Linked DNA regions of Caenorhabditis elegans. The protein of the gene in region 2 purifies or fractionates together with the protein of the main gene of each other region. This does not show direct contact. Each region holds a gene or a part of one and is shown on either strand. Other genes may lie near its edges. The genes, in order: far-6 and lec-5.

Evidence for each region.
Region 1: the proteins of lec-5 (region 2) and far-6 fractionate together in Caenorhabditis elegans (co-fractionation; one large-scale study listed by BioGRID). This does not show direct contact.

What each region holds. Positions count from the first base shown.
Region 1 is NC_003282.8:13,326,681-13,343,340, forward strand, and holds far-6 (Fatty-acid and retinol-binding protein 1), read left to right. Parts: upstream 1-1,678; 5' UTR 1,679-1,680; coding exon 1,681-2,191; intron 2,192-2,239; coding exon 2,240-2,283; 3' UTR 2,284-2,634; downstream 2,635-16,660. Other genes in the region: pqn-74 (Chitin-binding type-2 domain-containing protein), read right to left, coding at 3,103-3,147, 3,304-3,677, 3,727-4,198, 4,251-4,353, 4,412-4,568, 4,651-4,693; glr-9 (Solute-binding protein family 3/N-terminal domain-containing protein), read left to right, coding at 16,178-16,303, 16,350-16,442.
Region 2 is NC_003280.10:5,832,572-5,849,692, forward strand, and holds lec-5 (Galectin), read right to left. Parts: upstream 8,533-17,121; 5' UTR 8,532-8,532; coding exon 8,418-8,531; intron 8,364-8,417; coding exon 8,198-8,363; intron 7,941-8,197; coding exon 7,744-7,940; intron 7,698-7,743; coding exon 7,559-7,697; intron 7,514-7,558; coding exon 7,294-7,513; intron 7,248-7,293; coding exon 7,139-7,247; 3' UTR 7,068-7,138; downstream 1-7,067. Other genes in the region: gtap-1 (Dynein heavy chain 7, axonemal), read right to left, coding at 1-115, 168-240, 290-393, 440-559, 605-661; Transmembrane GTPase fzo-1, read right to left, coding at 969-1,050, 1,099-1,233, 1,280-1,750, 1,796-1,907, 1,957-3,064, 3,116-3,333, 3,385-3,510, 3,557-3,629; ZK1248.15 (WW domain-containing protein), read right to left, coding at 4,317-4,550, 4,594-4,991, 5,041-5,289, 5,338-5,485, 5,537-5,674, 5,724-5,972; ZK1248.19 (Beta-catenin-interacting ICAT domain-containing protein), read right to left, coding at 6,143-6,340, 6,385-6,619, 6,670-6,755; nep-25 (Peptidase M13 C-terminal domain-containing protein), read left to right, coding at 9,672-9,772, 9,824-9,974, 10,023-10,090, 10,189-10,351, 10,395-10,672, 10,863-11,022, 11,069-11,131, 11,177-11,356 and 2 more; ZK1248.17 (MSP domain-containing protein), read right to left, coding at 12,683-12,970; H41C03.3 (uncharacterized protein), read left to right, coding at 15,175-15,316, 15,365-15,504, 15,822-15,890, 15,943-16,249, 16,550-16,810, 16,856-16,998, 17,048-17,121.

The DNA.
Region 1 (16,660 bases), on a different chromosome or scaffold from region 2:
AAATTCTTTGAAAATATGTAGAAATACTGAAAAAATTCGTAAAGACACAGTTTTAAGTGTTTCCGTCTTATAAAAAATCCCTCTAAACATTTCCGGCAAATCTGATATCCGGCAAACGGCGAATCGGCAATTTACCGTAAATGAAAATTTCCGGCAAATTGGCAAACCGGGAAATTGCCAGAATTGAAAATTTCCGGCAAATCGGCAAACTGCAAATTTACCGATTTGCCGAATTTGCCGAACGGCAATTGCCGATCACCCCCTGATTTACACCAGGGCTGCCGGTTTGTCGGTTTTTCGAAACTATCGAAATATCGAAAATTTTCGTTTTTCGGTTCTCCAATTTTTCGACTTTTCGATTTTTCGGTTTTGCTAAAAAAAATGCATCTGAATTCACTCGAAATTGCAAAAAATGGTGGTAGGCACGCACGTATTCAAGATATTTTTTCCTGATTTTTTGACACTACAAATTCTTGCCCTTAGTTCAAAGTTTCACTTTATTGAACTGAAAGCAAAGTTCCAATAAACCGATTATCAGTCCTTCCACTTGACACGTAAAACATGCAATATTTGACACTGATAATGTCAAACGGAATTCCAAAAAAAATGATAGATAAAAAATTTGATTGATATGCATTAAAACAATGCCTAATAGTTAGAAAAAAGTCAGATAAAGAGTTGGTAGGGACGGGACGATTCAGAAATAAATCAATTTTGAATTGACGGAATTTCTTTAGCCAAGACTCGCCTAATCATATTTCCGAAACCGATCAAAATGTTTTGTTCCAGTATTCTGAAAATGACTGCGAACTCATTTTTTCAAGAAGTTCAAGAAAAAGAGGTTCTCTTTTGTTTTTTTTTGTTAATTTAGGTACATTTTAAGTCATTGGAGATATTTCACAGAGACTATATTTTCAGGTATTTGTACTAAATGAGAAACTGGATCAGCTTAAACCCGATGCACTGTTGTAAATGCAACTATTAAGGTCAGTCATGGTAATCTCCGTAATTCTGTTTTACAGGTCACAGCTCGGTTTCTGTGGGCTCATTGTAGGGATTCAAACATGCGCTATAGTTTTCTCAAAAAGTGGCAAAAACTTAGTAATTGCCACTTTTTGACTATCAATTAAAATTTTTTCCAACCAAATTTTAAAAAGCTTTACAATGATATTGTTGCATTTTGGCACCACACAGATTTAGGTTCAAAAAGAAAACCCTAAACTTCATTACACTAAAAGTAGTTTTCTTAATAATAGAAATCCAGGGAAAGTGAGTCATGTGTCTCGAAGGGAACGTGACATTTCATTGGAACTCTCGGTTCGGTACACTATTTCGTTAACGATGGGTCATCCAAGGTCGTATAAAAACATGGCCGGCGGAGCAGGAGCTGCACAGCAGAAGCGGCGCCGAGCTTTCTTTTCTTTAAGTTCTGCCGTTTTTTTCTCATTTTTCTCATCTATTTTTCTTTTAGAAATATAAATTATAAAACAACATACAGTAGACATGAAAAAAAACTTTTATGGGTCTTTTTTTGAACTGTTGACTTTGTGAAAAAAATGGCCTGAAAGCATTTTCACATCTACAGTGCCGGCCAATATTCTATTCGCTTTCCGTGATTTTATGATATCCAGACTATTTCAATTAAAAGTGGCAACCTATATAATTTAAAATGTTATAGCAATGATCCGCATCTTCCTTGTCATAGCACTTGCCTCCGTCGCTGTCTTTTCTGCTCCAATTTCACGCTTACCACAAAGCTTAGACGACATCCCAGCTGAGTTCAAGGAACTCATCCCAGCTAAAGTTACTGAATACCTTAAATCCATCACTACTGAGGAGAAAGCTGCTATTAAGGAATTTATCAAAAGTGTTATGGGAGGAAACAAATCTGTTGAAGAATTGAGTGCTGATATCAAGGAGCGGTCCCCATCCCTGTACGCTAAGGTTGAAAAACTCGACGTCCTACTCCGCACAAAACTCGCGAAACTCGACCCCGCCGCTCTGGCTTTATTCGGGAAAGTCATCGCTCAGGGACTTTCTTTCCGGCAACAGTTCCATGCCGGATACCAGCCAACTCCTGAGATGGTAAAGAAACTCTTCAAGGGATACATTGCTGAATATAAAACACTTTCTGAAAACGCCAAGGCCACCATCACCGATGAGTTCCCCATCGTCGTTGAATTCTTTCAACGTGAGTTTTTAAAATTTGAAATAAGATTAAACATTCGGTTATTTTCAGACGAGAAAATTCAAGCCATCATCCAACAGATCGTGAACTACTAAATTGTTTTTTTTTCAATTATTTTACCAAAATAAGCTTGTTGTCATTTAAAAATAAGTACCTTTGAAATTAGGTGTTTTCATGAAACAAGGTACACTAAGAAAATTATCTCCACAAAGTTTTTTACATTTTGCAATTTGCACTTCCTATAATTGCTTAAGTACTCCACTAAAAAACCAATAACAATTTAAATGTTTATTAAATGTATTTCGAAATTTGAGATTCATATGAAATACAAACAAATTGCAAAAAGTAGAAAACTGCGAAAATTATTTTCTTATTAAACTTTGTTTTATGAAAACACCAAGCGTTTAGATACTTGGAAATTCTAATAAAAAAACCGACCCGCCTGATGTCAGCTGCTGTAGCTTTTTTTCTGGAACAGAGTTGTATAATTTTGAAAAATCCAAAGTGTAGAAAAAGTTTTCGTCAATACTTTGTTAGTTGAAAACATTTTTCCAATAAGCAAAGTATTTGAGTTTAAAATATTTGAACAAACCATTAAAATCACTGCAAATCCGGGGTATCAGACAAAAACCAGAAAAGTATTGAAAATATATATTTATTGAAGTACCATCATAAGTTATATAATAGTTATCATTGGAGAGAAAACCCTAGACATTGGACAATTCGGAATACAAATAAGGATTGGGGATTTGGGGGAAGACGGGGGAAAAGTGAGGGCAAACTAGGCGGTACAATTATGGTTGTCTATGCGTATCCGTTTCATGATTGTTGTTTTCTTCACGGTATATACAAAAAGGCGAGAAGATTGTAGCAGTTTTTGGTTCGATGATGATGTGTGTGAGATGTTCGATCGATTAGAAACGACGGGCCTTCTTGCGGAAGTAGCAGCAAACCATGCACTGAAAGAGTGTTCGTTTGCTTATGATCTATTCGAGCCTCCCTCCCCATTCTTACACACCCCCGTCCCTATTGTAATCGTCTCAATTGCCACACACAAGAACGGAAACCGGTTGAATTGGTTGCCGATCTCTTGCTTCTAGACACTACTCTCTTACCTGTTGTCCGGCATTTTGTCCGACTTGGCAGACCGATTGTCCTGGGCACTGGTAGTTTTGGTTGCATGATCCGATTTGAACTCCTCCGGTGCATCCGCATTGAGCGTTCTGTGGAGCCTGGGTGGAGACGTATGGGGCTGGAGTTGGAAGAGTTCCTGGCTGGCTGTTGGTGTCCCAGACGCAGACTTGGGATTGGACGTCGAAGACGGTTCCTGGGGCACATGGCATACGTTGCCATCTTCCGCAGAACAAGTTGTTTGGAGCTGGCTGGCATTGAAGGTAGTGAGTGCGGGATTGTGGGTCAGTGGCAAGTGGGTCGATCATCCATGAGCAGATTCCTTGGTATTGAGCGTTTTGAACTCCGGATCCTTGGACTGAAATAGAAAGGTTTAGATTGTAGATTCTAGAACCATAAGATCTTACCGAGTGGGCATGGCTGTGGCTGGACAACTGGAGCAGATTGTTGTGGGCAGTATTGTTGCTGGGTGGTTGTGGTTTGGCAGTTCTGTTGAATTTGGGTTGGGGTGCACTGGCATGGTTGCATCTGAACTGGAGCCTGGGTGGTGGTCTCTTGTTGTTGGCAGCAGGAGATGGAGACAAGGATCTGCTCATTCTGCTGATTGTTGGTAGAGCATGTGCAGGCTGGTTGGTTCTGTGGGCATGGGCATGATGGGTATTGGGAGAATCTCAATGGCTGTTGCTGGGCAGATCTGCGGACCTTCTTGACAGCAGAGATTGGCTCGAGGATTTCCGGCGATGGGCAGACACAGTTTTGCTCTCCATTTGGACAGGCGCACTGTCTTGGAGCCTCACGGGTCTCCTCAACGAGGAATTGCATGGCCGAGGCAGTTGGGCAGAAGTTGTACTCGGTGGCATTGGCAGACTCGCAAAGTTCCTATAAACAAGAAGATAAACAAAAGGTTGAAGAGTGAAAGGTAAAGGATTACTTGTTGTTTGTTGACAGAACGGACAGTCTTACAACGGCGAGCGGAGGCAACAAACTCGTATCCTGGGAGGCATTCACGAAGAAGCCAGATTCCGAGATCTTTTCTGGAAATGTGAGAAGGCGGATGAAGGTAAAAAGGTATTCAGTATCAAAATGGCTTACCTATCGGCAGCAAATGAGGATTGACGAACACATTCAACATAACGGGTTGGATCACCAGTGGCTCTAGGGAACGATGGCAATTGGCAGATATCACCAAGAATGGCTCTCCAGTATTGTGGAGTTTCCTCACCACTCTTGGATTCGCAAGATGCGAGAGCTATAAGAAAATGGAAAAGGTTATCAAGGAAGAATGAAACAAAATGTTAAAATTGTTAAAAAATCAGAAAAAAGTGATAAACCTGCGAGAGTAGCGCATCCGATAATGAGGAGGAAGCGCGCCATGTGTGTATGAGTGAGAAGAAGCTAGTGTGATGCTCAATCGGCAAACTCGTCGCGCTTTTATACGATTTGGCTCTGGAGCACACCTGGGGAGGGCTCCCGCGCCCTCTCCGAAGTAGGCGGTTCTCTCAGCCCGCCCTAATCCGGAACTCATCAGTGGAATGGCATGCGGAGAGAGGAGCGCACGCGCACCCGTCGACCCACTTCTCACCGCGAATACTTGTAAATAGATTAACAAGATTACAATAGGAATTGATACCCCCTCTCTTCTCTCTTGCTTTCTATGTTCATATTTTTTGAAAATCAAAAACTGTGTTTGTCAGAGTAAACAAACAAAACCCGTGTGTCCGTGCAAATTGGCAACTTACTACAGACAGTAGTGTACTCGAGCATGCTTTCGCAGAAACCGTTTAAGTAGTTGGTTCTCTTACACTACTACAAGTCTCTTTTTTGGCTTTGCGGCGTCAAGCAAGGCCGAAGGTTATGGGAAAAGAAGCTTCTAGACGCTAGATATTTCATCTTTTGGTTCTTGTTGACTCAAGTTTATTTGTGTCGTTCTACTTGAGCTTTTCTCTCTGATTTGCATCATTTTTGATAGCTGGAAACAAAAGGTTACGGTACAAAATCACTTCACAATTCATAAAAATTATTTGGGAATTTAAATGAAATATTGCAAAAATTTTTGAATCGTCTAAAATTGCCAATTTTCGCTCGTAAAAATGGATAATTGTTGTTTCTGATGATTATAAAAGCGATTTTAAAATGTTTAAAAAATCTACAGTACGCTTAATTTTTACAGGATCTACTCTCAAAGCGAACTTAATATTTTCAAATTGAGGTCGCGCAAAAAGTATCTGCGCCGTTAAGAAGTACAGAAGTACAGTAAGAAGTACTGCCCATTTTTTCTTCAAAATATTATTCTGTAGAAAAACGTTTTTGAAAAATCCCCCAAAAAAAAGAGCGGGTTACTGTAGCGCACGCTCATATAGAAAAAAATTTTGTTCGTCTCGGAAACCCATGGAGACGTAACGCTATTCTTTCAGATTTTTTTTGATTTTTTTCAGGAAAAAAATCTTGAAATATTTTTTGCAAAACTGAAATTTTCCGGCAATTGAAAAAAATGCGTAAAAACTCGATTTTTCGATGTTCAGACCTAGTCAGTGCACATTGAGAACTTTTCGGATGTTCGTTTACATTGTGCTCAAATTAGGCGAACTTTGTGAAAATCTGGCACACGTTTCAATAGCGAACCTGGATTGATGTCCGCTGCTTATTTAACTTGTATATCAATTGTATTCAAAACTTCAAACATGTTCGCTGTATGACATGCATGTGCTCTACAATTAGAGCCTGTTCTCTCAAGTTTCTTTCGTGCCCCCAAAGTTCCAGACACGGATCGGTTTCCCGTAATCTCTGGTCTCCGAAGAACACCCCCCCCCCCCCGTCGCCTAGTTCTCAGTGTGTATCCGATGTACGTATAATATGCACTTCATATATCCACCCCTCCTGTCTAACAATTAGTGAAGAATTGAAAAAAAGGTTGGTGAGGGGAGGAAGGAGGGAGGGCGCGAGCTCGTTGACGCCGCGTCTCGTCCGCATGTGCTTCTCCTGCGCATCATCTTATTCCAGTTTGCCCTTCCAATCGTCCGTTGGGAGCAATAAGAAGCATCAGTTGAGCAAGTGAGGAGGGGGGAGGCGAACAATGTGTGTTGAGTGACTCTATTCGTTGGTTTTTCAACAGTCTAACGGGTCCGTTTGTGTATGGGGGTATGTATGTTGCTTGTTGCTCCTGTTGGATTGTGAGAAGAGAACAACGAAAATGATATCTTGGAGAGAGAGATCCGCGCGCCCGCGCGGCACAACTCGGTCATCCATGTGCTCGCGGCGGCGGCTCCGTCAAGTGCCATCTCTTTTTCTTTATCTCTCGATGCACCATGCATTGGCACTCATTTATCTGTGAACAAGATTATCTGACACAGGTAGTATCCTCTCTGTGTTCAGATCATTGTCTTTAGACTCACGTTGAGCAATCTTTGAGCTGAATTAAATTAGTTTGGCGCCGGCTTCTTGACCAAATTTTTCCAGCTTGGTCAAGATTAATTTTAAAATGTGGCCGTGTTGGGTAAGTTTCTCTTAAATTGGCTCATGGAAACTGTAACCCAAAATGAAATTTCAGATCACTAAAACTCGGCCACCAATTTTTTTGTTGAAAATTGCCATGACGGTCAGAAACTCCGTTAAAACTTTTGCGAAATTTTTTTTTTTAACTGAAATTTTTTAGATTAACCGATTAATCATTTTGAATAGAAAGTGTGAAAATTTATTTTGGAAATAATTTAAATTTTCGAGAAAAAAATCGGTGGCCGAGGTTTTATTTGTTAGCGGTCATGGAGTAGAAGCCGGCCTGTTCCCTCAGTTTCCACCAGGATTGCGCGGCGATTGCCGACCGGCAATTCTACAAAATGAGACGGTTGGGCATGTTCCCCTGTTATGTTTCATTAAAGTTTAATGATACATATAGAAAAATATTTGCTTTGTTTGAAAATAATTTTCATTTGACTTGGAACAACCGAGAAAGTGTTCAAAAATAGTCCGAATGTTGAAAATTGGCGGTGAAAATTGCCGAAAAATTGACGGCAATTTTCAACATTCGGACAATTTTTGATAACTTTCTCGGTTTTTGCAAGTCAAATAAAACTTATTTTCAAATAAAACATATAGTTTTATATAAATAATGTATCAAAAAATTTAAATGAAAAATATCGGGGGAAAATAAGCACCCCAGATTTCCAATACGTGGCCTAGAAAATTGAAACACCGGCCACCAATTTATTTTTGACTTTTTACGGCTGAAACCACGACCAAAGTGTATACAAAAATGCCTAGGCGAACATAAACCACATGGTCATTTCCATCGGCCAAATGTTCAATGAAAAAGTGGTGTTCTATTGTCTCATGCTTCACACTTTCCCACGCCACTACTCAACCAGAATGAAAAATCAATTCAATAGTTCTATTTTTGACACCCTCTCCGAACTCTCTCGTTCTAGTACCCCCTCTAGAGAACTGTAATCAGTTTGAGTGCACACATGTCAGCTGCTTGTAGAGTTGTCTTATTGTTCGTCGGCACAAAATGCCCAAATATAGGAGTGAGAGAATGGGAGCAAAAGGTACAGAGAGAGAGAGAGAGAGAGAGACACCAAACACATGGGGTCTCAAACACAAGACGATCGGCGTCACCCGTGTTTGAAAGCGAGCAAGAAAAAAGTGCAGCTTGAAACACAATAGCATCCGTGAAGAAACCGTTGTGCCAGTGTGTTTCTCACACTCTCTTTCCGGGATATCCAAGTTAAAATCAAAATCAAAGGAGAAGGGTGCGATGTCCTTCGCATTTTGTTAAAGGGGTCGCACCGAAAAAATTTGGTGGCGGAGTTTTTCGTTTCGCTGCCACATCAGAAAAAATCGAAATTCTTTACTGTTAATTGATTATTTACAATTTAAAAATTAAAATTAAAATCAGCAGCCAGCGATAGCGGTCATTGGCTTTTAAAAATTGATAATTGGAAATCGATAAACAGCGATCGGAAACCGAATATTAAAAAACAGTCAATTTAAACCTAGCGACGGCGATAATCGACTTTTTCAACCCAGGTTGCAACTCCCTTAAGATCAGCAATCGGCAACCAGACATATTGGCGTGCAATGGCTTCTTCTGGAATATCTGACAACTTTCAGTTTTACAAAAATGACGTCACTTCTGAATGATGCAGGCATCACACTAAAATGGAAGAGGTTTTTCAAATGTCTAACAATTGTCACTTTTCTGATCATTGACCCTAAGCCCAAGCCTGAGCCTAAACCTATCCCTAAGCCTTAGCCTAAGCCTAAGCCTGAACCTAAGCCTAACACTAAGCCTAACCCTAAGCCTACGCTTAAGCATAAGTCCAAGCTTAAGCCCAAGCCAAAACCTAAGATTAAGCTTAAACCTAAGCCTAAACATAAGCCTAAGACTAAACCTGACCCAAATCGTAAACCTAAGTGAAACCTTTTAGTCTCTATTTTTCGAAGGAAAAAGTGCATCTTGAAACACAATAGGCCTTCCGCAAAGCAAAGGGTTTCCGGAGATGTTCTATTGAATTCAGGAGCACAAAAAACCCAAAACACATAGAGTCAAGACGTGTGGCCCAAAAACAATAACTGCGTTCGGAAACCTCCCCGCCCGGGGGTGCTCTTTCTCTTGTCAGCTGTGTTTTTGTTTGCTAAATGTGTGTTTTCTCGCACTTCCTTTCATTTGCCTTGCCCCATGTACAATAGATCGGAAGAGCAAAAAGTGGATGGAGTGAGAAGCCATAAAGTATTTCGAGGTAAAGCATTGGATGGGGTAAGAGTTGTCCCCACTTCCCTCAACACCACACGGCTCAAGAAATCTCATCCGGGGAGGGCAAAAAGAGACGGTACTTGAGAAACAATACGCATTGTTCATGCCTCCTCTTGCTCTCTTTTCGTGTGCTTCATCCGAGAAATTGAGCAAAACGAACGCGGAAAAGTAAGATGGGGGATATTCAATGAAAAAAGAAATTGATATGCTCTGATTTGTATTGTTCTTTTTTGCTGTTGCCACTGTTCCATAGAAACAAAAAACCAGCTTGAAATATGATGAGTCACCTCGGTGGTCTGTCGATGATTTCACTGGTGTTTACTCTCTGACCTGAAACTCTGGGAATTAGTGTAGCAATCTGAGGAATTTGGGATTCGAAAAAAGCTCTGAAAAAAAAACCGAAAATTGATGTTATGCCAAGACACATAAAGTTTTAAAGATGGAGTAGCATCTGGGGTTGTTTTTTGCCTTAAATGACAGAATACATTCCAAATATACCGAATATAACTGTTAAAAAATTTATAAAATTTTTCTAAATTTTTTATGATTTTTTTTAATTTTGCAAAAATTGAATTTGAATTCCCACACAAATGAGTGTCGTCATTTTCGACATTTTTGCGTTTTACGATGATTAGTCGCGTTTTTTAATATATATATTTTTATTTCTTTGCTTTGTAATTTGAAACATAATTTGCTAATTTTTTAAAAACATTTTTCTGTGAAGAAAACTTGCGAAGAAACTTCCCGAAACTCTAAAATTGGCCTAAAAATCGTTATTTCATAATTAACCATAATTTTCGTGTCTAAAAAATTGACTGTATCTATAAAACAAAGAAAAATAAAGAAAAACCAATTTGTTTGGCCGTAAAAGACAAAAATGTCAAAACTGACATCAATCAGTTGCACGTGAATTCAAAAATATTTGGCCCTTTTTATTTTTGAAAAAATCATAAAAAATTTAGAAAATTTTTTTAAAGTTCTCAACAGTTATATTCAGTATATTGGGACTCTATTCTGTCATTTAGGGCAAAAACCCACAGACGCTACTCCACCTTTAAACATAAAAGATAGATTCGAAAGTAGCTCTACTCGGTGATATTTGGGAGAATATAGTGGAAAATTATAATACGATAAAACATTTTAGAATTTAATTGGAAACCCACAAGAAAAACGGAGTTGAGAAACCTGAACAAAAAATACTTGTTAAACAAAATACAAAAATTCTTCAAAATGGCCCCGCACAAATCTTGGCTGTTTTATCAGAATTTCTTCGTCCTCCTTGTTTTAGGTGCAAAAATAACTGAAAGTTTCTGAAGAAAATTGAGAAACTACAGAAAATCTTTGTAGATTTCAAATTTAGCTCATCATAGTTCATGCTCTCCGTGTATTGTGCATTGATAAATATTGATAAACACTGTGCCAAAAAATCCAGTTTTTTTCTTCACACGAGACTCCACTTTTCTGATCGCTTTTCGCAAAACATTGGTTGACCTTTTTGCACTTCCTGTATATATAAAATTTCAGGTTAATAATTGTTGCAATTGCACACAATTCAATCTGTGATCTGCTCGTAAAGTTTACTCAACCTCCCCGTGCGGGTGTGTTGCCAATAAATTCCGACAATTTGTTTGATGGTTTGGGGGGGGGGGGGGGCTGTTCTTTATTGGATCGCCATTTTTGGAATATTTCTGAACCAGTTTTCTTGGAAGGTTTTCAGGTGCAAGGTAATATGTTTGTCTAGAAGTTCAGGGAAGATCTGTGGGAAAAAATCGGAGTTTTTCCAATTCAGAACATTTTAATACTTGTCCAAAACTTTATATAGTTCAGAAGAAATTATCAGTATTAAATTTTTGAGAATGGCCGAGTTTTTTATCTAGGCCACTGCTACATGGCCGGGAGAAGAAGAAAACTCGGCCACCGATTTTTTGGCGGCTAAGTGAGTGAGATTTAAGTACTTTATTTTTTTTCTGGGTTTGAGTAAACATTTCACTTCACAACTACAGTAACCCAACTTCTGAAGGACACTATTTCTACAAAAGTAGAGACAGGGCCAACGCCACGTGGCCGCGAAAAAAAACTCGGCTACCAGATGGGCAGTGCACATTGTGCACTTTCTCGAAAATTGTCTCCAAAAAGTTGTGAAGGATCATTTTCATACCATTTGGGGTATTTGGGGTGTGGTAAAATACTGAAAAAAAATTTTAGGCCATTTACTTATGTATCTAGTTCTCAGTGGAAGTTGAAGTCGGTAAAACTCAAAGCTTATGGGCTGAAATTAATATTAAACAAAGAAGATGATCTCTGACTTCAAATAATTTTTTTTTCTGGATTTCTAGACCACGAGTGACGTCACTGTTCTCACCTAAAGCTGAAAAACTATGAAGCTCTAGTGACTAGAATTCATATGGAAAACTATAAAATTTGCGTTACCAAAATAATTATAGGTACCGTTGTACTCCAACATACACTGATCGTTTTGTTCTTTGTATTTTTAAATCAGAAAACAGGTCTTGTCACATGTTTACATGGCAACATGTAATCCTTCTCCCCCCAATTTGCCACCGGACGTTTCACGGCTCGCTCGTTTTTTTGCCCCGCGCATCTTCCTGTCGCTAGCATCTTTCCGAGACGCGACTAATCATCTTTCGAAATGATAAGCGGGTTATGATGTGCCAAATTGTGAATCTGCTTCGTTTTGCACTGTAACTAACGACTTGAATAGGATTTATGACACATTTTCTATATTTTGTGGGGAATTTCAAGCGTTGAATAGTTATTGTTGTGGAATTCTTTCAACGTGGTGGTAAAATCATGACTAGATAAATTCAAAATGGAATATATTTAAAGATAGATTAGCGTCTGTGGGTTTTTCATCCTAAATGGCAGAATACAGTTCCAATATACCGAATATAACTGTTAAAAAGTTTAAAAAATTTTCTAAATTTTTAATGAGTTTTCTAACTTTGAAAAAAAAATTTAAGCCAAGATCTTTACCAAAACTTTGACTGATTATTCATAAAAAAGCTGCGTTTCAAAAGGCTTGCAACCAGTAATCCACAAGTGTTCTTTTTTCTCATTTCTCAGACAACCAATGTACCAGTTACTCTTCCATTTTTGGCAGGTACTACTATCCAGTGCAAACAAATTTCGATATATGTATCACTTTTATTTGCTCAATTTTACCGGCGCAACCTGCTCCGATTGACTTGCGTGAAATTGATGAAGGGAATGGAGATTAGCTATAATATTTGTGGATTTCAAAAGTCAAAATCAACGTAACTAATCAGTTGAAAAAATGATGACTTTCTTGATTGCGGGCTGGTTTCATTTTTTGAAAAAAACGAAAAGAAAGATGCACTTATGAACTGTCCTCGGCATAAGGGTGTTCGCTTTTTTTGCAGCTGGAGGAGCACACACTTGGCTCTCCGAAACACGCATGCAATTGCTGGAATGTCGATGCTCCTGTTGTACTTGCTCTCCAAAGTGTACTCAGATTATCTGGTTTTGAACATCGAAGAACACATATCAACCACACCCAGACTATCATTAGTCACTAACCCATTAATTTTTTTGGGAAGAAGGAATGCGGAAACATAAAGTTCAATATTGAAGATCAGAACACGAAAGATACGGAATGAGAAATTTCTGTAGGTTTTTGGTAATTCGGATGAGAGAGATCAAGGGTGCAGGTGAGGTGAGGTGACTTTTTTGTGTTTTTTGGTATTTTGGCGAAAAATTGAGTTTTTGGATAAAAAAACCAATAATGTACTTTTTTATTTAAATAAAATAAATTACTAAATTCAATTTTTTCAATATTTAATTGCGTGACCGAGTCCTTTCTAAAAAAATATACATAAAAACAAAACAAAACAAAAACACTTGTTTTTCGACAGTCAGTGTGAAAAACATTCATTACTATCAATTTTCGTTTACAATCACAAATCGTGGCAATCAAGTTATTACATCGTAACAAATATGGCCAAACGAAATGATTCCACCAATCCGAGAATCTACGGATCAGCCTTAAGGAAGAAGGAGGTGAGTGTGAATGTTTAGAAATTGCTAAAAATTCGCTTTCTTCCGCCTGTTCTTGAGCTAGCTCAAGCTTGAGAAAAAACATCGGTGGCCGTTTTCTTTTCTCTCGGCCATGTAGAATGAAACCCGTTTTTGCTGCATTTTGGCCGAGTGGAAAATCGCTGGAAATTTAAGTTTATTCCACGTGTCTTCCAGAAAAATTCTCGTGGCAGAGTTTGTCGTATTTTGCGGCCATGAAAAAATCTCGCTACTTTCTTGCCACGTGGAAAAAATTCTGATTTTGGTAATCGTCGAATTGTGTAAAACGATGAAATTTCTAGGTTTTTTCCACGTTTACTTGAGAAAAAATTGGTTGGCCGAGTTTTCTATTTGTCTCTGGAATTTGTCAAAATTTTCGAATCTTCGAACTCGAATCTTGTAAATGAGCAAATTGTGATGTTGTTGCCACGTGGCCATAGAACGCTATAATTTTTAAGCCGTGGTAGCCACCGGAAAACAGTTTAGACGTAAAATTTGCGTGTGGCCGAGTTTTCTCTTGTCGCAGCCACGTGGCTCCTATAGAACACACGCTCCACCGCAAAATCAAAATGTTTGTGAGAAAATTTGAATTTCCCGCCAAACTTCATTCTGAGAGTATTTCAATTTTTTACTTTATATATAATTTTCAGTCGTCACAGGACCTACAATTTGGTGTAAATAGTAATGAACATCAAATGTCAAGTGATCAACTATCAGAAACTCTTAGTATTGGAGGAAGTCAAGTGGCTGGAAATAACGAAACGGTCCCTGGTACCATGGAATGATGTTCGGACAAACAGTTGAAAAACTTTTGAAGTGGGATCATGCTTATCTCGTTCGTCGTGCCATGCAACGCAACTCGAAAAAGGTTTTGTGTCTTTCTGTCAAGATTGATGGAAAGATCTGTCATTTAACTTTAAATTCGAATAAGGATGGATGGAGTTGTGCAAAGGTAAGTAGATCATAATGGGAAGGGTGATAGAAACTATAACTATTACTCATTAAAAAGACCAACTTCCAATCATTTCAGCTACTGGCAAAGTTTCCAAAAATCACTCCAAAGCGCTTCCAACACATTCATCATCTTCTCGATGCCTGGTCTCTTGTTGTCAACTCCATTGTTCCAGTTCCACGTCGACAATTAGTTCTTCAACACAATTGTATTCACCTCGAAAACATATTGGGTAATGGAGCATTCGGCGAGGTTCTGAAGGCGAGATATATTCCACGTGGTCACACAAATGGTGTTGAAGTAGCAGTGAAACGGGCACTTGGGACGGCTCAAAGAGATCAGATGCAAGAATTTTGTCACGAGGCTCAGATAATGGGAACTTTGAAGCATGACAATGTCGTGAAGCTCTATGGAATTGCATCGTTGGAGCAACCGATTATGCTGGTTATGGAGCTGATTACCGGAGGAGATTTGAAGGTTTGTTACTCTTACCAACTATACCTGTGCCTGCCTACTTACCTACATGCCTCATTTTTACCTTTATATTTCAGAAATATCTCCAGTCGACTCCTTCAATCCCAAATCGTCAGTTGATCGCCTTCGCCCTTGACATTGCCAACGGAATGCGCCACTTGGTTATCAAAAAAGTGATCCATAGAGACTTGGCGGCACGTAACTGCTTGATCAGCAGACCAACACTTCAAGTCAAAATTTCCGACTTTGGACTCGCTGTGCAAGCAACTGAAGTAATCGTAAAAAAATTGGGCAAGGCTCCAACTCGATGGCTTGCACCGGAAACGTTTCAAAAAGGAATTTTCAATGAGAAGACGGATGTGTGGTCGTTTGGAGTCGTCCTCACAGAGATTCTGACAAGATGTGCTGCCGATCCACTTGCTCCGAGAACTCTTGAAGAATGCAAGAAATACATCATAGAGTCTCCACATCCTCATCGAATTGAAAACAAAGAACCCAAGGAGCTTGCCGATTTGGTGGAGATGTGCTGTGATAAGAATACCATATGTCGTGCGAACTTTCAAAATGCCAAGCGTCGTCTCAAAATTGTGATTGACCAGTACGACCATCCAGACGGCCACAAATTGGAATTGGTGAGTATTAAAAGTTGATTTTTCTATTTTTTGAGTTTTCCTCTAAAATGAGAAGCGAGAGCACACAACTTCTTAATGACATCTATCTCATTTCAGAAAAAATCCGAGGAGCGGAAGACGCTGACCATTCGCAGATCCACCGCCACCGTGACCCGAAAAAAATCTCGAGATGGAGGACGTCAAGCATCTGTCGAACGGAAGGGGCACGGTACTCAACGGAAAGTGGTCTCAGTGCTTCGAAAAGATAGAGGGGCTCTGAAGCTTCCGTCTGGAATCGCCACCAACCTTGAGAAACCGTCACCGCCACCTCACACTGCAAAATCGTATACAATTAAATCGCCGACGACTCCACCCGTGTCCCAGCCTCCTGTGTCCCAGCCTCCTGTGTCCCAGCCTCCTGTGTCCCAGCCTCCTGTGCCTCAGCATCCAATGACTCCGCCACCAGCATCTTCTGCAAGGCCACATCCGAAGTGAACTGTGTTTACATGAATATGAAATAAATGCTTTGGATGCAAAATGAAATATTTTGTTATTTAATCAACAACTTTTTTGTGGTGCATTTCTCTTAACTAAGCCTTCCATGAGGGTGAGTTTTTACCCTCCCTAAAATACCCTGTTCGGGTAAAGGGTAAAAAAGGATATCAACGTGCCCTACTTTTTTTCTACCCTCACGGAAGGCTTACTCTTAACAATAGACTTGGGAAAATAAGAAGGTGTGATTGAATACAATGGCCTCGGTGGTTGAATGGTGCATTTAGAAATTGTTAATGCATTTACTATTTCTATTCTACCCGAAACTTTTTTTCATTTTCGTTTTTTTCAAAGTTAAATTTAAAAAAACCAGAATCCAAAAAAAGTATCCCCTTTCAATGTTAACCCAATTATCCATTTCAGCTTGTTCAAACAAAATAAAACGTTTCCTTTTTTCAAAAAGAATACAAAGCAAACAAAAAGTTTTAAATTCCAGATAATATGCACTTTTCATTCAATTGGATGAAATGTCTACTCGACGACAACTCCGTGTCGTTCTTGCTCGAAATCCGCCAGATGCTTTTGCAAATTGTCCATTATTCCCGACTCTTGATGTCATTTTACAATGTCCGTTTCCCGGATGGACCATGGAGGTAAGAAATTCCTACATGCCTACAGTAGAGGAAATCCATTTTTTAGGTTCTCAAAATGATAACGGACTCTTTGAAATGGGAAATAATACCTGTGGTTACACCGACTATTGTTGGAGGACTCGATTGGGGAACATTGCAGGTAATTTCACCCGGTCGAGACGTAACGGGGACATTAGCGGGTGTGATCGAGGAGGGGAAGAGACAATTGCCGTTATGTTATTTTTTTGTCGACAAACTCGGCAAAACGGTCGGTTTGCCAATTTGCCGGAAATTTCAGATCCGGCAATTTGTCGATTTTCCGGAAATTTTCATTTCCGGCATATTGCCGATTTGCCGGAAATTTCAGATCCGGCAAGT
Region 2 (17,121 bases):
CATACGGAGATTCCATTGGAAAATAATAATCCGAGTTCACTTCAAGACCACCAGACGTCAATCTGTATAGAGGCATCGACACACGATCAGTGCATATTCTTCGTTGAGTATTTTTCTGAATTATAACGTTTATTTTTGATAAAAATTATTTTAGTTTTTGAACTAACTTTAACAGGTAAATCAATAAAGTCGATGAGATGAACAGCGAGCCGTTGTTGAGTGAGCAAATAACTGTCTGTTCTCAAAATAAAATGATTAATATTCGTTTTTGAAAATCCGAATTTCTTACCCATTTCTTTGATGTTCCATACTCTTTCTGTACTCTTGACATCGTTTTACATTGCTATCATGAAACTTTTTTATTTGATGATTCTTACGAGATGAGTTGAACTTCTAAAAAAAAACAGTTTATAAAAAGTTTTCGTTCATCTTCAATTACCTGTAGAACAGCTGGAAACGGATCTCTAGGTGTCGTGAGACATACTGCAGAATCAGCACGTGAGATGTCTCCGCTTCCTCCTTCGTCACGATCTTCTAGACAAGAATTGTAGAACATTGTCTGAAATTTGTTCTAACTATTTCTATATTTGGTTCCCTACAGTACCTCCTGCGTGCATTGATCGAATTCCACAGAAATTCCAACATCGTCGTCTTCATTCATACCTGAATTATATTTTCCTATTTTCAAATACCACAACACATAAATAGAAATTCTGATGAATATAAATACAGATAATTGAATATCTTCTCAAAAATCAAACGACAAAAATTTATTCGAATTATTATTCGTCTCATAGAAGTATCATAATCAAAACACTAAAACTACTGAAATTGTCTAGAAATAACGAGAAAACAGCTCATCAAAATATCTACATTGAACCGATTACCAATCGTTCGAATTAAAAGCTATAGGACTGAGTGAATAAGGGGAAAAGCACCAAAATTAGTTAAATTCAGACTAGTCATTTTCATGGCGTTGGCGGAGAGTCCGATCGGAGATAAGAAGATGCAAATTGTTCGAGATTTCGGAGAAGAAACACTGCTTTTCCTCTGAAAATTAATTTTATTAATTCTTGACACAGATCTAAGAGGACATACTTGATTGTTCCCAATGTTCGAATTGTTGAATCAACTGCATCAATTTGTGTCTTCTGTACATCCAAATCGTTTTTCATTTCTCTATGGACTCCACCAACAGTTGCTTTCAATCCGTCAAAGACTTGGTCCATTTCTCTGAAAACAACAAATTGAATTGAAAACTATACGGTTTAAAAAATACCTGATAGCTTGTGTTTCACAGTGATGAGTATGAGCTGTTGAAACTTGTTGCATTCGAGCAGCTAAATGTGATCTGAACTGTTCTTTCAAATGTTGTTCCTTGGCTCCCGAATTCCAGCGCATTCGTTCCCATGCATATAGTCCAGCGTAGGCCGCTCCTCCGACAGCAATTACTCTCCAACCAACAGCCTTATACACAATACCACCAACAACTAGCACTCCAAGACTTCCGTTTGCTAAAAATGCGGCTGATGTCAAAACCATTTGAGTCATCATTGCCTGTTCTTCGGAAGCTGCAGAAGCTTCTGCATCTCTCACTGAATTCTTTTCGGATTGTTGTTTTAGTGATAATGGAGTAAGCAAATTGGTGTTGATTGCAGTGACAGGTTGGCCGCTTCGATACGCAATGATGCGACGAATTATTGCGTGTAGACCAAATGTGAATCGGAACTCGAGGTCTTCATGGAAATCACTGAAAAATGTAAGAATGAAACACAAAAAATCCATCGAAACTCACTTGACAAGAGCAGGGACATCGACACAAATGCTAAATTTGAAAGGAGCACGATATCGCCACACTTCTTCAAGCTTATTCTGATAAGGTTCGGCGAGGATTTTTGTCACATATTCTGGAAAAAAAATTTTTTATAACACATCAGTTCCCAGATAAACACTTACGGAACATATCATTCTCCAAATTCCAAATTCTTGACATTAGGCCACCGGTACATCTAGCTTCCAAATCACTGCTCAAACATTTGTCCACAAAGATTGCCAAATCCTCTTTATACTTTGTCATTCCGGAAGAGCTTCCATCGAAAGGTTGTTCAAATCGATCAATTATTGCATCAAGTCGTGCTATTTCTTCAAAGAAATCAGCAGAAACTTTCAGATGAACTTCGGCTCGCAGTTGCTCTGTCTGCTCACGGTAAGCTTTTTCAAATTGAGTGAAGTTTACACGGCATTCATTGAAAGTCCTGGTGGATTCGTTTAGATTATTCTGAAGCTTGCTTCTCTGCTCAGCTGCAGAGGTTAGCACGCTATTCAGATTGAGCCGCATTTTTCCGATCATTTCATGAGCTCTCCTGTTATGAGCTTCGAATTTCGTGTGAATCGCCGATCGAGAGATACAATGCTCAAAATGTCGTTCGAAATTTTGGAATTCCAAGGCTCTTGTGCCATGACCTTCTGCTTGATAGGCTTTTTGTACCAGTCCCCTAGCTTTTAATCGTGATTCCAAAACTTCTCTCGATGAAACAAAGAAGATTCGATCATTGACTTCTCTTTCTGAGCACACTTCAAGCTCATCGACCAAAAACTGACGGAATCTCGTCAAATGCTGCTTTTTTACATCTTCGATGTTTTCTGTTTCTGCTGCACTGGCGTCCCATCGATTATTGAGAATAAATACGTTGGGCTTGCTAAGCTTCTTCGCGACTCGAAGGAAGAAGTTCTTTTCGGCTTGTGTCAATGTTGATTCCGCATTTGATACAAGCACAAATACATCTGCATCTAAACAATGTTTGTCAATCCAGCTATCGAATTCTGGAGAAAGATCGACACCAGGGCTATCAAGTATGACGACGTCGTTTTGAAGAAGTCGGCATTCCCCTGATTCCGATTTCTTTGGATGAAACACTTTCAAAAGAGAATCCTGTCCCATTGCCGGAAGATCTGAATTTTCGTCACTCAGTGCGTGTCCAATTTTTCCAAGCATTTTCATATCAATCTTTTGGGGATTATCATCTAATTGTAGATGGCCAACTTCGCCTTCTGAACCTTCAACCTGGAAATTTCAAAAATTTACAATAAAATATGAAAAAAAAGTGATTCTCACCTGCAGAAAGCAACATGTTGTATGTCCCATTCCCTGGGGCAACACTTTCTCATGAAGCATCGCATTGATAGTTGTACTCTTTCCGTTGCTGGTTCTTCCGAAAAATACAACCTTCATGTTATCTCTTTGAAATGTGTCCATTATAGTTTTGATTGAATCGCCAATTGCTTCGATTTCTTCCCGCTGTTCAGAACTAACAAAGTCGTTCTCTTTAATATCTGGAACTTTTGTGGGTTTATATTTGCGGCGAAGTAAAAAACAGAAAATACCTTTGTAAACACCTTCTAGTTCAGCCACATTGTCTTTCAGTTCTCCATAGACATCCCCAAGAACCTTTTTAGCTTCTCGAAATCGAAGAAGTGGTTCATTATCGGCAGCACGACGCGAATTTTTCACTGAAAAGTTTATTGCATTGTTTTTTGAAAGGTTGAATAAACATACAGCTGTGAAGTCCACGATGATTAGAATCACCACTGGCCGGCAGAGTATGAACTAAGCTTGCTGTGCCAGACATTACCTGAAAACTTAAATATATTTAAAGTCTCATAAATCAGCCGGAAATTCGATTCGAGGATTACGAAATCGCTTAAAAGTCTAGAAAACATTAAATCTTATTTGAAATATCGAAAAGGTTATACAAACATCAAATTATTCATTGGAATAATAAAAAAAAATGAAAAGGAACACTCGAATTATCAGAGAATTTCCATTTCTGTCTCCGTCGCGAGCAAAAAAAGAATGTTCACTGGAGCGCGCTCTCTGTACACAAAAGAATCGATTATCGGGAGACAACGATTTGTGAGAAAAATTAGTTGTCTATCGAACTATTTTTGATTAAGAAAAGTTACTGTGCTTTAAATTGCCGTTTTAAACATTAAAAGATATAAATAAACTTTATGAAAGCAGTTTGTAGAAAATTTGTGAATAATGCTTGCTGCAAATTTTTTAATCAGCAAGCCCCCGTTCTTGAAATTCTGCAGTGTCTCTTCTTAAACTTCTGATTGCTTTTTGGATTTATATATTTAGAAAGCAAAAACAATCGAAACATTTCTATTGATTTAGCGGTATTCTATTAAGTTTGAAGTAAAAAAAAACATAAAAAACATTTATTCACTAAATAATTCACTAAAGTACACCGTACATGCAATGAGACCGGATGCAGGAATGCAGAAAAATCATAATTATAAATAGGAAACAATATTCAGGAACAATCCATATTGTCGTTGAAGGTACATTCGTCATCCGAAAGGCTTAACGGAATTTTTGGGCGATTACTATTTGGCTTGGTCGTCTTGACTACGTTTCCATTTTGAGATGATTGATATGTTGATGAGGGATATGTCTTTCTTGGTTTAAATGATTCCGAGTTTGAGGAAGACGGTTGAAGAGTGATCTCGTCTGCTAGTGGGATCGATGGTCGAGATTTTCTGGGAGCCTGAAAACATATTTTAATTTACAAAATAATAATTTTTTGTTACCTCTACTTTGTTTTCTTTAACAAAACCAGCATTGCGACCAGCATCTTTTTTGGCTAAGTCGTTGATCCAACTTTCCAATTCGCGATGTTTCTTTACACTTTTAACAGCTTCGTTCCTTTTGTATTTTATGTCGTTGCTAGTGTATTTGTTAGAATGAGAATTAGCATGATGTTCTTTCCTAGTAGTTTGTCTTCTATCAGAATTCGAAGACTTCCTTGAACTATTTAGTTGATCCGAATCCGTTTGTTGTTTCTTCCGACCATGAATGGTGTCCATGAATGATTTAACTGTCTCAACGTGCAGATCATGAGTCAGTGCTTTGTTTGAAAGATTCACATCCTCGGTGACGAGTATAATAGCACGATCATTGAGGTTCATTGTAGATGGAATTGACATTACTGAAAATTGTGGTATATTCTCGAATCTTAATTTAAGAAAAAAACTTACTTTCTCTTTTTATTCGCAATGCAGTTCTTAGAATCAAATCATCTACAACAGTTGTGTTTGCACTGAAGCCGTTTATCTGAATCTGTTGCTCTGTGCTCGTCTCGACATGCAAGTACTGATTCTTCTCTTCCAGAAGATCTTTTATACTATTATTTGCACAATTAGCTACAATTCGAGTGTGTCCTGATCCGTTTTTAAGACCATCTAGCTCAGATAATGTAAAATATGGAATGACTGTGAGAATTTGTTCTGAAAATAATAGAAATTTCAATAATAATATCATTCTCTATATTTTACTTTCGATGGAAGCATTGAGAACATCAGGATTTCCCAGAAGAGCACAGGTATCGAATATGGCACACGCACGATAATGCAAATCTTTGAATGGTCGAACTTCAGAAGACCATGGAACACGTGGTAGCATTTTATTGGAATGAGATTCTACCTGCAACTGATTTTTATTTTAAAAGAGCTTAATAATTATATCAACACTAACGCCACTGCAGCTGGGAATGTCTTCTTTTTTCGTTATTCTCTCCGAACTGTCCGATCTTCTTGGCCTCTTCCATGAAAACTCTTCATCATCCAACTTCTCCATAGACTTCCGCTTTGGCGGGGGTACCACATCGACTTCCTAAATTTTAATGAATAAATTAATCTGTTAATTGATAATTAATAGTTACCATTTTATCATCATCCATGGTCCCATGGATATTTTCCTCTACATCTTTCCGTTTTCTCGTTTTCGCTTTAACCGGAGATTTTTCCTCATTTTTTCGGGTGTTTGGATGATCCCATAAACTTTCTTTTGTCTTATCATTCGTATAAAACTTCCGTTTCTTTTCCGTGTGCCACCAGGCTTTCCATGGAGGTGATACATTTTCCGTTTTATCATCTAACCTAACTTTTTTTGGTTTTTTTGGAGAAGCCATTATTTGTACTCTGAAAACTGGTGAGGTCCTAGGAATAAAATCATTCGTGGGAAACAAAGATAAATTGAGCAGCATGGTTAAAACCGATATAAAACAAGCGATTTTTGATTAAAAACATTAAAAAAAAATTATAGTTTATATACAAGTAAAAATTCATAATTTAATAAAAATTACACATTTCCACTGAAAAGACGATTCGCATTTGCCTCAATTAATTGGAATTCTGGTGTTTCTAATCGATCACTGAGAAACTTCCTTTCATCTTCTGTTAATGTTTCTTCAAGGCGTCTCAGTGCCATCAAAATTTCAAATTTCCTTTCCAGATACCCTTGCTTCGGCATTTTTTGAGATCGGTAGTTGGTTTCTGTCTGAAAATTAAATTTTAAACGATAATATCATTGAGATTAGTTACCATCATCAATTTTTCTCGTAAAAGACCAGTATGTTTTCCAGCAAATAAAGCCATAATTTCAGGTGTTTTGAAGGCTTTACTTATTGCTGTTCGAATCGCAATTTTAGTCGCCGTGAGATCATCAATTAAAGAAACATCTCCGCCTTGCAGGCGTTCGACTATTTTTCCATATTCCTGAAGTTGATTTACAGTGTCTTCACGCAATTCCCTGTATTCGTCTTCTTCGAGATTATTCCTGAACAAAGAAACATTTGAAAGTAAAAAACAAACAAAAAATTCACTCACTCTTCTTGTTCTATTTCTGCTAACTGCCGGATCAATCGATCAATAGTTTTTTGAGCATTTTTAATAAGCAAATCGTCTACTCCCATGACGAGAAAATTAATTGCAAGAGGAATTTGCAAAAAACAACAAACAAAAATGCTGCGCGTCAAGTAAAATGCATTTCGTAAATCGAGTGTACGCAAACACCATGACGCAAAAGTGCATGTTTTTGGAAAACCTCAAAGTTGGATTAAAAATGTTTGGTATTTAAAAGTTTTGCAGTATTCCTTTATATTCGGACAATTTGAAGTTGAATACATCGAATTCTGAATAGGAAATTTTAATTCTAAACAGAGTCTGCAACATTTTCCATGAAAATCGAGCTATTGTAGTCTGCCAACAAAACATTGCTACGGATAAGGAAACTTAGAATGTTTATTTAGATCTGGACAGTATATAAAAACTTAAAATATATTCAGAAAACAAAAATTTAAACTCCTGGAGCATCATTAATGGTGACAGTCTGGATTTCAACGTCTCCATCAATTTCAAGAGTCTTGATATCGCTTGGCGATCCACGGTGGGAGAATGTGGTGAATCTGCAAAAATATTGATTAAAATCAGTAAAATTAAGGAATTTGAAACCTTTCATTGTTAAGGAAGATCTGGAAAGAGTACTCTTCGTTGATGATGGTGATATCGAACACTTGCTTCTTATCAAGTGGCATTTTTCCTTCTCTCTCTTCTTTTCCCCAAACATTGCTAGTCATTGCGTTTCTGACAACAGCTCCCTCATTGTATCTGATGGAAACTTGAAGTGCATACTCTTTGTTTTCACGGTACAAGTTGACATTGACACGCTTTCCTGAAAGTTTTCCATGTGAATAAACGGACATTTTATTTTTTGTACCTTTTGGAAGAGCAGAAATATCCAGTCTCTTTCCTGGGGTAAGACCAGCAACTGCCATATATGGGTTAGGGAAGATTCTTCCTCCATAGTGGAAAAGACGAAGTTTTGATAGATCTCCACGGATTGAGACGTGATCAATCTTAAATTCGAAGTTGTTTGATAAACAATTTTAAAATCAAACTTACTCCATCAAGTGGAAGTCGTTGAGTGAAGACTCCAACCTCAAGACGGTTAGCAAAGACCTGGAACTTTCCTTCAAGAATACGAACACGCAAATCAAATTCTTGTCCGGCTTTGAATGGATTGCTAATTCTCTGCTCATCTTCAGACCAGTTTCCGTTTTCGAATGTGTTGTAGATCAACTTTCCGCTGCCGAGAAGTCCTGAAATTTATTGTTTGAAATTCAAATATTATAGTATTTTTTTAAATTTAATTTATGGATCGGTTGTTCTGGAAACGAAAACATTCAACTATGACATCAGTTTCTTTAATGATAGAAATTGTTTTTGAATTGCTACTTTTTAAGCGTAAGTATTGGTTATCATTATCTTTATTCATGATCTTGCAAGTTTGGGTACTGTCGTACAAATTTTTTGCGATACTATACCGGATCTTGAAATTACTCATTAAAACACTTACCCTCATTAAAACGAATAGAGAAATGAAGTGGAAGATCAGCATCTTTAGCTGATCCTTTGTGGAAGTTAAAATCCACACGAGTTGGCTTCTCAGAAAGAGTTCCAACGGCGTGAATAGTTTGTCCAACTGCAAGTGGCTCACTGACACGGGTCTTGAATGGGAGCTTCTAAAAATTTGAAACAATAATTTTCAGATTCTAGCCAGTGTCTAGATAACTAACGTATTCTTGTTCTCCGATGAACTTCTTATAGTTTGTCTCCTTTGGATCAGAAGCATCTCCTTGGCATGAAACCAAGGCTGCCAAAGATAAGCAGACAATCGTTCTTGTTATCATTCTGCAAGTATAAAATTGAAAGATTTTTAATACAATTTTAAAAGAGAACATCTTCAAAATCATGCGAGAATGTTACGTGACACTATAGAAGCTAAATGGCAAACTTTCGAAGAAGCTGCTTCAAACTCTTGAGCCATGGACAATTGGCAAGATAAATGTGTTGATGATTCGGGAATCTCCACCCCTTTCTTCAATTGATTCATTATATTACACCAACACATTTTCCTTGTTTTCCATTGGAATGTTCAGGCTCCGACCAGAGGCCATGCGGAGAAGATATCAGAGGGGGCGAAGGTTTGAGCTTTGATCAGAAAACGGACACTAAAATAGTGAAAAACACTTTGGTCTCCTGGATGAGTAAGCAGATGAGAGTCTCAACAAATTTCAAAGTTCAAAATGAAAAATATATTTATTGTGTAGAGGTATCCAAGGGAGCAGCATCACATGGGGTGTTTGATGGATTTACGATGTTCGCATGGACAGCTTGGAGGATGTTGAAACATTGTACTAATGTCGAAGAACCTTAATGTGATGTGTTCATTATTTGAAGCATTATGAAGATCTCACCAAAAATACCAAACATCTATACAGTAAAAGTGTTTTCACTCTGTTCGCGTTCCAGGTGGTCCTTCTGTTCCTGCTGTTCAAAAAAAATCCAAAGAAATGGGAGAATAAGGCTTTATATTTTCCAAATATTTTCAGAGTTTGCCCAACCTTTGTTCACTTCTAAACTAGTCTGAAATCGAACTTTTAAATGGCTTTTAAGTATTGGAAACTATGAATGGCAAATCGGAGATTTATTATGGTTTGAAAACGAAATTTCCGAGGTACAACATGGGAAAATCATTATTTCGGAGTGGATTCCTCATTGTCATTTGCACAAGGTTTGCTTCCTTTCGAGAGTTTCTGATTCCTTAATTTGTTTTGTTTGAATAAACTATTGCTTTTCATTTTTGGAATTTGTCTTCAGCTTCTTTCGCTTCCTTAAATGTTCAGTGACAATAAAACAAACGTTATGCAAATTATTCGAAATTTTCCAAACAATATGGGAAATCGGCCACCTCACTGTGCTATTGTAGGCGGGAATTTTCGACTATAAAAGTATCCGTGCATCACATATTTTTTGTTTCGACACCTAAAATGAAGGCCCTTCTTCCCTTTTTCATATTTTCTGTTTTTATTCTTTTTTGCACATCAAAAGCCTCTCTACCGAAGAATATCATTCAAGAGCATATTAAAAAGTAATAGAGAATTACATCTAAAAGTTTTATTGAGTTAAAAACAAATTTCAGACATGCTGACTTCTCTGTGGATCCGTGTGTTGATTTCTATGCCCATGTGTGTCCATGGAAAGTTGAAAGATATTTCATGGAAGATCTGAGCAAGCTGAAAGCTGGGATGGTAGCAAAATATAGAAAAAAGCATCCAAAATTTGATAAGTTTGTAAGTTTTAAAGTGTTTTGAATGGGCAAGCTAATTTTTTTTCATCAGAAAGGGGAAGATGCCTTCGCAATAGCAGAAGCTCTGAAGCAACTTAACATTGAGCAACTTAAATCGGAGTGAGCTTTCATAGAGAAAATAATATTTTCATGTTGTGAAAAAAACGAAAATTGTGAATTTTCAAATGCACCTAAAATTTAGCTAATTCGATTTGCAGATGCAAACCCAGCAAACCTCGCCTTTCGTCGTTTTTCATCAGCGCTCAGGATAATAGAACAATTGAAAATGTAGATGAAGTATTATTCCCTGGCTTTGAAAATTATCCATGTGAAGAAAAAGCAGCAATAATTATAAAAGAAGTTGGAGAAATCGAAGATTATGTATATCTTTCTTTAAATCAGGAATATACATTTTAAGGTTCAGACAACTACCCGTAGTGTTTTGGTCAGTGCTGTGAATGGATTCATTACAAGTAAATTGGTTGAAAAATTGGATGTAAAAGCTAGAAAGCTATTCAATAAGTTCAAAAGCGTGATTTCAAAGGAAATAATAAAAACTCCATGGGCGAAGAATTATAAAGCAATTGAGCAATATGTTGAAGCGCTCAGCAATATCACTTTTCGAACTTTTGCTGATGTTCGGATCACTGTGAAAAAAAGCATGGAGCTTTATGAGAGCACTGAGAAAGATTGTAGAAAAAAGTGAGTTTCGAATTGCAGAAGAATGTTTTCCGTTTGAAACTTTCCCAATGTATATCAATTTTGGTTCCTTACTGTTTGTTAGAGCTTAAGTGTCGTTTATGTATGTCAAAGTGTCAAAAATTGGCTGAAAATTAGTTCCATCTATAGTTAGGAAAAATGTTCCATAAACTACCCATTTCCTAAATTTTAGATTAGACGTTGCATTCTCTCAACCAACTGCAGAATTAGTTTGCAAAGGTGTTGCTACAAGAAAAGCGGAGGAACTTCTGGATGAACCCATCGAAGACATTTTCCCACAGGACCAAGCAGGAATACTGAAAGACGTGTGGCAAATGTTTAATTCGTTTGATGTACGAAACAATTTTCAAAAATTCATATTTTTTAAAACTATTTCAGAATAGCGTTTACATTGGAAATGAGTTCCTGCTTCTTCTGAATACGGACTACTTTTCTGATTTGGTAATTTCCCACATAATTTCAACAAGAAATCATTCTCAATTTCAGTACGGGAGCATCGGGTTTTCAATGATCCATGAAATCATGCACACATTGGTATTTGACGATAACGATCTAGACAAGCCACTTTCAAAACTTTGGACAAAAAATGCAGATTGTGTAAAGGATCAAGCACTCAAAACATGTGAAACGTTTCCGACTGTAACTGAAATGCATAACATGAAACCAGTAAGTGATAATTTCCTTTTTCAATTTCCTCCAAAATAAAAACTGCGAGGAATTCAAACAGAAAAATTAGAGTTGGAAAATCGTGATTCTAATTGTAAGTCAGTCTTTTTAATAATTCGAGATTTTCTCAGTTTTTTGTGGCCTATCAGGAAATCGGAGATTTTCAAGTAATCTACATTAACCGATTGACCGAAATTCACTTATAAACTCAATTTCAGGCGTGTAATACTACAGTAACATTCGAAGAAGATGCTGCTGATTTAGCTGCGTATCGAATTGCGTGGAGAATTTACGAAAACTCCTATGCCAGAAAAACGGTTGTTCCGAACTATGAGGCCCTTGATAAAAAGCAATTATTCTTCTACGGAGCTGCAGTTTTCTTTTGCAATCAGGTATTCCTTGTGACTGTCTGAACTTTATGAAAAATTGAAATTTCAGGATGGAATGTCCAGAGTTCCATTTCAAAACCTTGCACATTCAAACAACTACCAGAGAGTCAATTCCTTGATGTCTCAAATGAAACAGTTCTCCGATGCATTTAAGTGTAAACCAACTGATAAAATGATAACGAACAGAGCCAAACATTGTGAGTTGTATGGATCAGGATCGCCGATGACTAGAAAGAAGAATGCTGGAAATTATTATTAACATACTCTCTTCATCGCATAAATATCCATAAAACTGCTAATTTAGTTATAGTTTTTTTTAAAAATTTTATTTACAAATGGTGAAATTTATTATTTCCCTCTAACACTGAATTGGGGTCGAACCCTTGGTGTATTGCGCCTTGCACTCCCTCCTGCCCCACTCGGCCACACACAGCCAGTTTCGAGCCGTCGGCGTCTCTGTCGGAGGCACTCTCTTACAGTTATTCGCTTGCCTCGAAAGATGTCTGTACACACATTTGTATAAGAGGAGATGTCTCGCAGTGTTAGTCGGTTTTAACCCAGTTACTCAAGGTACGCTGGAGTTCTGACCTTTCGAAAGAGAGTGTCAAACAACTTTAATTTTTGGAAAAGCTTCGCTGGGGTTATCCGGCGAAGCAAACATGAATTTATCTTTAAAGAACTTTAAAGATTATGATGAATCAAAAAAGATGATTCAATATATTTTTTTTCAAACTTCAAAAGATGAAAGTGAAGGAGTTTCGATTTTCTTTCTCGATTGGATAACACAACTTCTGAACATATGGTCAATCCAAAAAAAAAAGAACGATCTATCAATGAAACTTTATTGAAAGTGTTATTGAAGTGTTGGGAAAGTTAGATTTATGTTCTTTGGGTTGTACTCAATAGAGAGGTTCTTGCGACGAGCCATACCGTCTCCTTAAAACCATTCACGGCGGAACTGCTTGGCAGCTCCATCCGGGGTGTTGGTCCATTCGACGGTGATACGGTCGTTGTTGGTGTCGTCTTGTCCGAATGCGAAGGCATCACATGAAACTGCCAACAGTACATCTTCCTTGGGTTCGGGCACTCCACATGGTGGATCAACTCCAAGTCTCTTCATGTTGGTGGTCTTGTTTTTTAGGAACCTTGATGTGATACGTGTGCTTGTCGTCATATGGTGCATTGAATACGTGCCCGGCTGGGTCTGGATGTCTCCGAACCCCATTCCGCTGCGTTATAGTAAATACTACTTTTTTTTTCAGATTTTTTGAAGCAAGCGGGAATCTCGTTGCATATGGCCATGATTTGTTGGATTCGAAAACTGAGTTTAATTGTGAATAAAATCTGATGTTTTTTTAAAGGAAAATCACACATATCACAGAACATAACGATTTGAAAACAAAACGACAGGCTATGTTGTTTTAATGGAGAGAAAGACGTTCTGTTTCTTTCAAATTTACTTGCAAAAAGTATAGCTGCGAACAAAGGAGCACAGTTTCTGAATCGTATAAAAATATTATCACAGCCTACATCGAGCAAAAGTCAAGTTAATCGGAAGAATGAAGGTATACTATATTTTTGCATTGAATAGCTAAATTATCCAACTTTTTTGTTTCAAAAGGCTTTGAAATATTTTTAATCTCTCTACAGTAATCTAACCATTTAGTAGAGTAAGACGACAGTGCCCCGCTATATTAAAACATTCTAATAGAAACGGTACCTATGTTAATTTAAAAATATCCAACAATGTTTTATGTTCGGTCAAAGTTGGCAAAAAATTCTGATCGTTTAGAATTATCTTAAATTTTTAAAGTCCCTGCAGCTCAGAGAAATGGTCCAATTTGTTTTAAGAAGAATTTTTTAGCAATTGAGAGAAAATAGAAACACTATAGATATCTTTGAACTACTCATAGAAATGTAAATAACATTTTATCACTTTTGGAATATATTTCTTTTTCAACAAAATACACATGAATATTTATAACTAAAACACCTCCATTATTAAATAGTTTGCAGCTACGTCTGCACACCACTGTTCTCTTTTAAAATGTTATCAGTAATGAGTGAAAAATAGTTTGTAAATAGTAGAGACGCAGATACAAAGCATGATATATCTAAGTTATATTTGCCAACTCCCTGCCATATATGTGTTTGAGTGCTTACTCCTTTTTAGGGCGTTACTTTTCTTAACAAAAAAGTGTATTTTATGTTTTATACTAAAAGTTGTTCATTGTTCCCAGCTTTTTCCCCTGTATATTCTTTATCAAGAACAGTTAGAGTTGGAAATGTCAATGCCCCCATTTGTTGGATTTTCAGATTTGAACCTTTTGGACTTTTGCTTCCAAGTATTATACGGATTTGTAGTCTTTTACCTTCCACGAGAGCAAAAAGGTAACTATTTTTTATTACTATCATAGACTCAATAGTCCCAAAAGTCCAAATGTCAAAAAGATACATCTCGAAAATTTCTCAAAACATTGTTCATGACAGCTGTCGGAATGGGCCAAATTCAGCTAGAAACTCAAGTCAGATGTTTGAAATTTGTCTGTGTCACAGAGGCTGAAAATGAACTGTTAATATATAAAAATTTGTGCACTTATTGACTGAAAAAGTACTATACTATATGAAAAAACAAGCTGCACAAATTTCAGTTTTTAGTTCATTTATTTGTCCCCACTTCTTTGAAGTTTAGAACCCCTGTAGAACATTTTCGAAAAATTTCCAATAACACAGTCAATTTACGATGTGTACAGGTACCTCACAAGATTGGCAGAGTTTACGCAAACAAAATTGATCGTAATGTGCGCATGCGAATAATAGTTTTCGCACATTGCGAATTAAGTGTGAAATAATTTTTTTTTTAATCCAAAAAAGTAAGGAAACAAATAAGCTACTCCTCTTTAAAAAACTTGCCAACTGGCACAATTGCGAGAAAACTTAACTCTTTTGTTGTCCATCTCCACCTGCTTGCTCCATTCTCTCGTTTTGATAATAATAGTGCTAATCTAATCCGTTGTCCCGTTTCCATGACAACTCATTTTCTTTTATATGAATTCATTTTCCATCTGCATAAAATTGTGAAAAAACGTTTTTCCCCGATTTTCTTTCCAAAAACGGATGCCTCGTTTTGTTTCCATAGAACTTTATGGACCCTGAATTTTTCGGAATGCATAAAAACGGAGAAAAACGAGTCTAAACTTTGAAATTTGTATTTTTGTTCGAGAAAAAGCCTAAATATCATGGTTTTTCTCCGTTTATATTGACAGTTTTCAATATCAGAGAGGTAGAGAACAACAATAAAAGATTGAATTGTTCCTCCGCAACTTTTCCTCGTTTCTCGTTGTGTATAGGTTTTTTCTTCCAAGAAAATATAAAGGTTTCAAAATTTAAACAGTTTTCTATGTTTCTCTTTTTTATAAAAAATTTCAGATGCGAAGCAAGATTCGTTACCAGTTATTGGATCCTTCAGCAGCACCAAAAACATTTAAATTTATATGGATTTTACTGTTTCTTGCTGTATGCTTCGTTGCGTATTATCTATGGATTTTCAATCCGAAAAAAGGAATTTACGGTAAATTATCAAAAACTTTATACAGTTTAAATTTTTTTTCATTTCCAGATCCCTTGACGACTGATAAACAAAATCCGATGACTTATGAACAAGTGGTAAACGATTTGAGAAATGAGATTGATCAAAGAAATGCCATAATTAGCGAGCTGCAGAAAGATTTTGTTAAAATGGAGTTGAAAACCGAATTCGTGAGTTTTTTTTAACATGAAAAATGTTTTAATTCTATCTATAACTGTATTTTAAGTTCAAATATTTAGTTGTAAAACAAAAAAATCAAAAAAGAAATAACAATTATACAATCAAGTTTTTCTGCGAAATTCCAAAATTCCAAAATTCAAGAAAAATTTAACAAAACGAGATATGCCCACATATACAAGTCAGGCAGAGATCTTATTTTAAATCAGACAGGCATGCATTTTTGTTGCTACGTAACTGCGTATGAATATTATTTAAATTTTTTATGTAAAAATATAATGACAGATATAAGTTTTAATTGAATTTCCAGAAGGCAATTTATCCACGACGACCAGAAACGGATCATATCGATTGTGGACGAATCTTAGCTGACGATAAGGTATATTTTGTTTAAATTTCAAAATTTTAAAACCTAATTTTTATTCATACAGGTCTACCTACAAACAGTGTCTGGAAAAGATCGAGTAAAAATTGTGGAAAATAAGAATCTCAATATGTCATGTTCGGCAATTATGAATCGAATTCTACCATCGGGAAATGATTTGAAACCTTTGAAAAATGGTGTTGCATTTGCGAGAATTGTTTATACAGATTATGAAATGATTGAGAAACAAGTTCAAATGTCATATCATCCACAAAATTCATTTTGTTTCGCGATTGACAAAAAAGCTCCGTCACAGTTTCATGAAAGGCTCAGAGCAATGGCTGCGTGTCTTCCAAATGTTTTGCTTCTTCCAGGTACATTATTGCCGATGGCTTAAAAAATTTAAACATGTCATTTTTCAATCAAAATGTTGATTTAAAACCTCCAAAGTTTCTTAATATGTAGTTGTTTGACTTCAGATATTTGGATCAAGTTTGACAATTTTATAATGCGGAGACGGAATTTTGCGTTGATGTTTAATTGTTTTTTTGAACTCAATTAAAAAAAACCTACAATGCCTAAAAATGACAAATGAAACGTAAATTCATATGGTGTTCGTATACTTATCTTAATCTAGAAGAACCCACTCGTAGATCTAAAAAATAAAATTTCAGATGAAGAATCAGTGGACTCAGCTGGTCATAACATCAATCTTGCACATTACAATTGCCTCCGTGTTCTAATTAACAAACCTGGTTGGAACTATGCCATTTTACTTCAAAATCATGATGTCATTGTTAAATCCGTATATGAAATAGAGCAGATTTATGATTGGCTTGGTGGAGCAAACGACATCGAGATTACACCTGAAGCAGGACGTGTAGATAATAAAAAGTTCAAATGGGACCCAGTTTCTCTAAAAATGTTTCGAAATGGTGAGTTCTAAATTGATTGTATTGAGTTAAAATAAAAATTTCAAGAAACTGGAATCGACAAAAATGTTTTAACCACCAGCATGAAGTTCGCAAAAGGAGCTGTACAAGGCTCATTGTCAAGGGGGGCAGTTGATTGGATGGTTCGAACAGTTGATCTTTCAACCTATATTAACCAATGGAATGAAGGAGTGAGACACATTTTTTCAAATCTCTTTCTTTTTATTTTTAAATTTTCAGTCATCTGGCGTAGATGAGCAGTTTATTCAAAGTTTTCAAGTGAGTGCTGATCTAGGAATGCCTGGACATTTCAC